Linked DNA regions of Arabidopsis thaliana. The protein of the gene in region 1 interacts with the protein of each later gene in a pairwise test. Each region holds a gene or a part of one and is shown on either strand. Other genes may lie near its edges.

Region 1 (3,930 bases):
AACCACATGGCTTCTCATTTATCATTTATCCTAATAAATCTTAATTAACTCTTTAATGTCACCACAATCTATTAATTCATAAGTGCAACTTGGCTTAATTACATAACTTATCTTCTAAATTGGAGCCCATAGACTCTTTACTATAATGTTGCCCACAAGTAGTGATATATAGTAGTTGTTAATAAAATACCCTCTTTTGTCTTTTCTCGTTTTTATATTCTATTGATACACCAAAACATCACTAACTCTAGTCTTAACTGGATATAAATAACAAGATATACATAAACAAATTTTTTATTAGTAACATTCAAAGTCTAGGCGAAAATTAAAGTTTATAGCTGTAACATGAACTTCATAATAATCAGTTTATACTTAATAGCATAACTAATCGATCATTGACTTCGACCAAAAAAACGAAACAACTCGACTACAACGCTTTGTCAAGAATGTTAGATTTCGAAGAGAAAAAGGACGACATAACATAACTATAAAGAAACAAGACCAAATTCTCATATATATGAGTTTCCACATTCCTCATACAAGTACAACATCCTCTGACTTAACTCTTCGCAATTCAGCTTGTAATTTTCAATCTTCTCCACTTGTAAATGCAAAGTGTAGAAAAGCCTTTCTCCTTGAGACCTTGAAGATGACATGTCCACAAGAACAAACCTATCTTCTTCTAACCCACTTAAAACATTAGATATCGAAAAGTTATGAATCTTGGACGATGAGATTTGGACCATCACTTCGTTGTCACCAAGCCTAGTCGCAGAAACGGTCGAGATATAATTCGCGACGGCCTTTGGTGGCTGCTTAACGTAACATTCAGTGTTTCTTTGACCTGAAATTTGCACCAAGAGCTCTTCCTTCTTTTTTATTAGCTTCTTCACTTGCTCTTGCAGCTCTGGTATGTACTTCAAGCTTCGAGAAACCGTCGCAGGAATGCTTAGCTTCTTCTGCAAGAAAGGAAAGAAAAAAGGTTTAACGCAGTATTCTTCTTCTAAATTGTATAGATGCATAAACTATAACGGGTCTAATCAATGAGTCGGAGTAGCTTCTTACCGATTGGCCAGAGGCAGGAAGACATGAACGGAGAGATGAGAACAAAGAGTTAATTTTCCTGCGACGGTCACGCTCACTAGCATTGTGATTAAGCTTCTTGACGACCACCGGATTGTTGTCTATTTCATTTCCCTCCGACGAAACAGAAACACCAAAGCTATTCTGATGTTGAGTCACCGCTGTAACAGCTCCATAAGTCTCCTCCGGTACCGGAAAATCAAGAAACCCGCCGTTGTTGAGGATATCTCCGGCGAGGTAGTAGCTGTCGTACTCTCCCGTTGATGGCCACCCAAAGTTTGGAAACAATGGAGGTACTAATGCACACATTTTTGCTTACTAAGGACAAGTATTGTAGATTCTGTTTTCTCTAGATGCTTGGAAGCTGCTTTGGTTAGGATTGTTCTGAACTTAGGTAGAATATTATTGTCCAACGTATATATAATGCGGATATATACAATTCAATATATCAATCTCTATGGTTAAGTATAAATTAACAAACTATACTATTATACAACCAAAACTTTAAAAATTCGCAAACTATATTATAAGTGTTATACGACTTGTACTATAAAGAAGAATGTTTGGATCTGAGGACGTAGGTCGACACATGCCAAAGCCTATGTCCCACGGGTGAACAAGGTCTAGTCACAAGTAGACTGGCTATATAAAAAATTAAAGAAGAATATTACATGTATTAAGTATTAGAGTTTACATATTGAAAGATGACTCAGCCTGAAGAAATTGTGGAAGACGCGTGTAAATCAGATTCAGGCGTCTTCCTAGTCCCAAACACTTGGATGTTGTAAGCATATACATAAGCAATTCTCATGTTGTAAGCATATACATAAGCATTTTATTTATTTGTTGACCTCCCAAAAAAAAAAACCAGAAGCATCTTCTTTAATTACTTTATTAAATCAATGTTAGCTTTGTTAATTTAGCTATTAACAACCCTCGGTCGGTGATTTATCATGCGGATTGATAAATCATTATCGAACTAGGGTCAACTTTAGGTCATCCTCTTTCCAATCAATTACCTTTAGCCTCAAGTAAGCAAATTCTGTTGTGCTGATTGAAGACCAGGTCAAAAATATTCCAAAATTGTATATGTGATCAATTAAGTTTCAAGATTCTCAATAGTAGGTGACACATTTTTCAAATCTAATAAAGCCCCTGAAAAGCTACATTTATCATTGCCGGCCTCTTCCACGCCCACCACCACGGCCACCTTTTCCCCGGGAACCGCCGCCTCCTCTCCCTCTAAAACCACCACCTCCTCTACCTCTGAAACCGCCTCTAATATTTGTTGATTTCAGTCCAAGAGACTGAACTCCTCTCCTCTTGTTTCTTTGCCCATCTTCATACTCATCGTCTCTATCTTCTTTGTACTTTGATGACCCTCTCGCCTTGAAAGAAAACTCCCGTGATCCTCCAGGACCGAATTTGATATCTTTCGAGCCTCCAAAGTTGCCACGCCGGTTCTCTATAGCCTTGACACGCTCGCCCATAGGAAGACTATCTTCTTTAGCCAGTGAAGTGCGGTTGTGATAAGCTGCGGCATGCCGCTCATCTTTCACTTCATACAACCTGACACCAAATCATCCACATCAGAAAACAAAAGAATCAAGATAGAATGTGTCAAATGTAGATCCTGGAATGCAGTCAAAAGACACTAACTTCGGAGTTCTCGCTTTCTTGCTTGGCCTAGTTGCGTCTCCATCGTCGGCCTCGTCATCTGAAGGCTGTGATGCATCAGAATCACTGTTCTCGTCATCATCTGATACAGCTTCAAAGTGTTCATCTAACAGAGAAGGTTGCTTCTTCGAAGAAGCAACAGGGTGTAGGACACCATATTCATATGAGTCCTTATCAATTTGGAAGTCCTGAAAACCAAAAGGAGATTCCCAAGAATACGTTTGATACGATGTGAAATAGAGCAATAAAAAGATCAAACAAAAAAAGTTGAAAAGAATATGTTAATACCGGATTTTGGAACATCGAACCAAACCGACCATCTACGAAATGCTCGTCAGTAAGTATGGGTTTCTTCTTTTTCAGCACTTTCTTGGTGGCCTCCCCATCCTCGGCAGTTTTATTTTCCTCCTCTGATTCGTCCCCATGAAGCCTTGCTGCAAGGTCTCGGTTAACCTTTGGCAACCGTCTCTTTTTCTGAAGGAAGCACAAGAGAAACAGATGTGTATGTAAGTAGCCGGTAAACAAACAAATGGTGAACGTATAGCTGCTAAGGTTTTAAATACTAACTGTGATTCTCTGCGTACGCTGCTCTTCTAACTTCTCTTGCTTCCTACGTTCTAAGTAATCATCAAATGCAAAAGGTTCAATCACTGCTAAAGCCTGTAAAAAGAAAGGAAGAAACATTATAGAGACTATTCCAATTTGACCCGAAAAAAAAAAAAGACTTTTCTGATGGTATAAGTATTATGAAAATGTTAAGGACTCACCTTTTTGTACAAATGGTAATTAATAAAATATCCATGCATAGATGCTTTCAAAAGATCTGTTCCAATCAAATGAGTTAGCTGCAACTTCTCCAGATCTTCCATTGCCAAAAATTTGTAATTATCATAAATAGTTGTCTGTGCACTTTCCTCCAACTCTTCCTGAGAACAATATTAAACACAAGAAACGTGTTTGTAACAATGGTGACATCACTGGAATGGTAAACCTGTAAAAGGATAGGAAGAATTTTCAATTTACCGTTAGATTTTCAAGAGGAGAACACCATTTGGGGGCAGGACCGAGTTCAGGTATGAAGTAAGATGGGATTAGGCTAGAGTCTAAAGCAAGAAGCATAAGTCCGCTTCCACGGAACACACAAATGTCGTTTATTCCTCCTTGAGTCGG
Region 2 (3,930 bases), on another chromosome or scaffold:
AGGATAGAAAGATTTCAGAGAGAGCACTAAATGTTGGTATTGGGCAGAGAAAAGGTGTAAGTAAATTGAGAAAAAAAAGTTTGGTAACAAAAGGTATTAATGTTTTGATGTGATGTGAGATGAGAAGAAGATGGATGGACCACTGTTACTGATTGGTGTGGTCATTGTTTACTGATTGGTGTGGTCATTGGTAGGTTTGGTTTTATTAGTGAATCCATGCCATTTCGGTTTTCAAAATTGTAACCGATAGTTACGGTTATCTGAAAATCTGACACAATACTTTATTGATGTTCATGAGTCATGACTTATCCGCTGTTGTGTTTCTAAAGATGTGCTGATAAGTCACATAAAAATTGAATTTGTTCCATGTCTGTATAGAGAAGAAAAGGAGTTTTCATATTTTCCCCATTTTTGTTGGGGTGAACAAATTAAAAGTTATCTGCTAGTTGACATGCATAAAGGTTAGAGGAAAAAGAAAAGGAAAAAAGAAAAAAGTTTGTCAAAATATTTTGCTTCATAAGTTTGTGACTTATTCAGAGTTATGTTTCTAAAGATGTGATAGGTACAGCAAAATTGTATTTGTTCCAAATGTCAATTAGTGAAGAAAAGAAAAAGAGTTGTCATATTTGTTGGAGTACTGAAAGATAATCATGTGGCAAAAAAAAAACGAAATAGGAAGAATTTCAGTAAAAATTATGCTAGCTTCACATGTATCAAATATATTTGAACCAAAGTATGCCATATTCATGAATTGTTTTTACAACAATTTTTATTTGTTTTAAACTCTAGAGGCTATATGTGAAAAAAAATTTTACAGCAAAAATAAGATTATATCAGAAACATTACAGACCGAAATTTACAGCCACGATCTAACCAAACATCTACTAAATTGACATAATAGCATTATTCAAATATTTATTTGGAAATTGGTTGATGTTTTTGAAAGTTGTGGAGTATCCCAAAAATCCAATGTTGCTCAAAAGTTCAGTTTCTCTAATAAATTCAACACCTAGATGGAATCTATAATTGGTTGACTTTTTTTTTTTTTTTTTTTTTACAGTTATATACCTGAAAAAATATTCCAACTTGAAATATTATAAAGAGTTGATTTTTGTCCTAACCGGCCAAGACTTTAATATTTTATACTGTCTTTCTTTGCTATCCTTTGTTTGTTTGTTGAGACAAGAACGAAAACCGTGCATTGAACAGGCTTCTTCATAATTTAATTGCGGTTTATCCTTAAATGATTTGAAAAATGGAAATGCATTTATCAAAAATAAAAGAAAATAATTGAAATGCTATTATATTCCAGAGTTGGTTTGTTATTTGAAAATTATGCTGGTTTAAGTTTATATTTGAAATTAATTTTGGCCGTTTTTCTACAAAACATATTTATCATATTGGAGTACTTTTTAAATACACTAACATAAAAATGTTGAGAAAAACTTTTGTTAAAATTCTAGCTTGTGACAACTAAACCAGTTGACATCTACAGTTGTAATAAGCCGATTGCAAATTAATTCCTAACATTTTAATAAACAAGAATATATGTGGATCTAAATTCAAAAATATAAACAGTACACTAACATTTGTACGTCTAATATCGTAGTAAACTTTTACTTATGAACACCTTTTTAATACGGTCTGATCGATTTATTTATTTATATAACCAAAACTCATATATATTCATAAACTAAATTATATAGTAACAGGATATATTATGAGCTTAATATACATGCTATATGCCTATATAAGGTCTTAATAACCAAAACTCATAATAATGTATTCATAAACTAAATTATATAGTAATATTTTTGGTATATTTTATAACTTTAAAAAACTCTAAATATTTGTGGTATTTTTGAAAATGGATAAAAATGATATTTTTGGAAAGTAGTATAATTTTAAAAAACTTCTCCCAATAAAGACATGACCAAAAATGTGTGTTATTTCTATATATATTTTTTTTTTTTTTTGATCAACATATACTCTTGTTTCTAATCTGCATTCCCTCCACCACAAAAAAAAATTCAAATGATAAAATATAAAGAAGAACAATGTGGAAATATAATTGTCATGCAACACGACAAATTAATCATTCGAGTAACATAATTTATACATATAATATACAGGTCATGCATGACATTACAAGACGTAACTGAATAAACTAATATCAACCAACTATCAAGAGTACATTTCTTTAAATTTGTTTTAATTGATTTCTTAACTTATTATGTTAATTAATACAGTTTATTTCATACTCACTCTATTATATAAACTCATTTTGTCTCTCTTTCGTTGTCAACAACTTTTCTTCATTGACAAAAACACACAAATGGAAGGAAGAGTCAACGCTCTGTCAAACATAAACGATCTCGAACTTCACAATTTCTTGGTCGATCCAAACTTCGATCAGTTCATAAACCTCATAAGAGGAGATCATCAAACCATTGACGAAAACCCAGTTCTTGATTTCGATCTTGGTCCATTACAAAACAGCCCCTGTTTCATAGACGAGAACCAGTTCATCCCAACACCTGTCGATGACCTCTTCGACGAATTGCCTGACTTAGACTCCAACGTTGCTGAATCATTCCGTAGCTTCGACGGTGATAGTGTTAGAGCCGGTGGTGAAGAAGATGAAGAAGATTACAACGACGGTGATGATTCTTCAGCCACTACTACGAATAATGATGGGACCCGTAAGACGAAGACTGATCGGTCTAGGACTTTGATCTCTGAGAGAAGAAGGAGAGGGCGTATGAAGGATAAGCTTTATGCATTGAGATCTCTTGTTCCCAATATTACTAAGGTAAGTCACAACATTTTCAAGATTTGGTAATGACTAATGAAACTGTAAATATTGATGAAGTATGTGTGTGTTGGCATTTAGATGGATAAAGCATCCATTGTTGGAGATGCAGTGTTGTATGTTCAAGAACTTCAGTCACAAGCGAAGAAACTCAAATCCGATATCGCGGGTCTTGAAGCTTCTTTAAACTCTACTGGAGGGTACCAAGAACATGCTCCTGATGCTCAAAAGACTCAACCTTTTCGCGGTATCAATCCTCCTGCTTCCAAAAAAATCATTCAGGTAATAACCTAAAAAAACCAATCAATCTTCTTGAAACATCAAAGTGTTTAAAGTTTGTATGTTTTGTTGTGTTAGATGGATGTTATACAAGTGGAGGAGAAAGGGTTTTATGTGAGATTGGTGTGTAACAAAGGAGAAGGTGTTGCTCCATCTCTTTACAAGTCTTTGGAGTCTCTTACAAGTTTCCAAGTGCAGAACTCTAACCTAAGCTCTCCTTCTCCGGACACATACCTCTTAACATATACCTTAGATGTAAATCAACTTGTGCCCTTTTACTTTGTTTTGTTTCCGAGTATACCGTTTACTTACCGAGTTTTCTTGTGTGGTGGAAACAGGGGACATGCTTCGAACAGAGCTTAAACTTGCCTAACCTGAAGCTGTGGATCACTGGATCACTTTTAAATCAAGGTTTTGAATTCATCAAGTCATTTACTTGATTCTATAACGCTTGCTCTAACGTGAGTCAAATCCGGTTCTGCACTATATTGATTGTGTACCTTTCTTACATGTTTCATAACTTCCAGGGCTCTAATTTCTATTCTAGTGATGATGTAACCGAGATTGTTGATTCTCTATTGAATAAACACCATGTTATATAGTAATTTAGCGACAAATTGTATGGTTAAATGAAGTAATATTTATGTTTTGTTTATAGTCTCAAGTCTTAAGTTTCTTTTGCTTTGATATATCACGTTTTGGTTCATTGGCTGTATTATTGCTTTGTTGTTGCAAGACCATTCACATCTTGATTCTATGTATTGTTCTCTGTTTGATTGGTAAAAGAATAAAGAATTTTAACCCCGAGAAAGCAGTACAGACGACCTATATGGATCGCC

Evidence for each region.
Region 2: the proteins of bHLH39 (region 1) and FRU interact in binary tests that used the Arabidopsis thaliana proteins (3 or more experiments, as listed by UniProt).

What each region holds. Positions count from the first base shown.
Region 1 is NC_003074.8:21,086,103-21,090,032, forward strand, and holds bHLH39 (basic helix-loop-helix (bHLH) DNA-binding superfamily protein), read right to left. Parts: upstream 1,609-3,930; 5' UTR 1,393-1,608; coding exon 1,066-1,392; intron 960-1,065; coding exon 510-959; 3' UTR 288-509; downstream 1-287. Other genes in the region: EDA7 (embryo sac development arrest 7), read right to left, coding at 2,256-2,652, 2,743-2,948, 3,049-3,234, 3,328-3,420, 3,528-3,686, 3,784-3,930.
Region 2 is NC_003071.7:12,002,378-12,006,307, forward strand, and holds FRU (FER-like regulator of iron uptake), read left to right. Parts: upstream 1-2,280; 5' UTR 2,281-2,335; coding exon 2,336-2,812; intron 2,813-2,893; coding exon 2,894-3,094; intron 3,095-3,169; coding exon 3,170-3,346; intron 3,347-3,429; coding exon 3,430-3,531; 3' UTR 3,532-3,618; coding exon of another isoform or gene 3,619-3,626; 3' UTR 3,627-3,899; downstream 3,900-3,930. UniProt on the Arabidopsis thaliana protein: Transcription factor. Essential protein involved in iron uptake responses. Regulates FRO2 at the level of mRNA accumulation and IRT1 at the level of protein accumulation. Confers enhanced iron mobilization responses at low iron supply.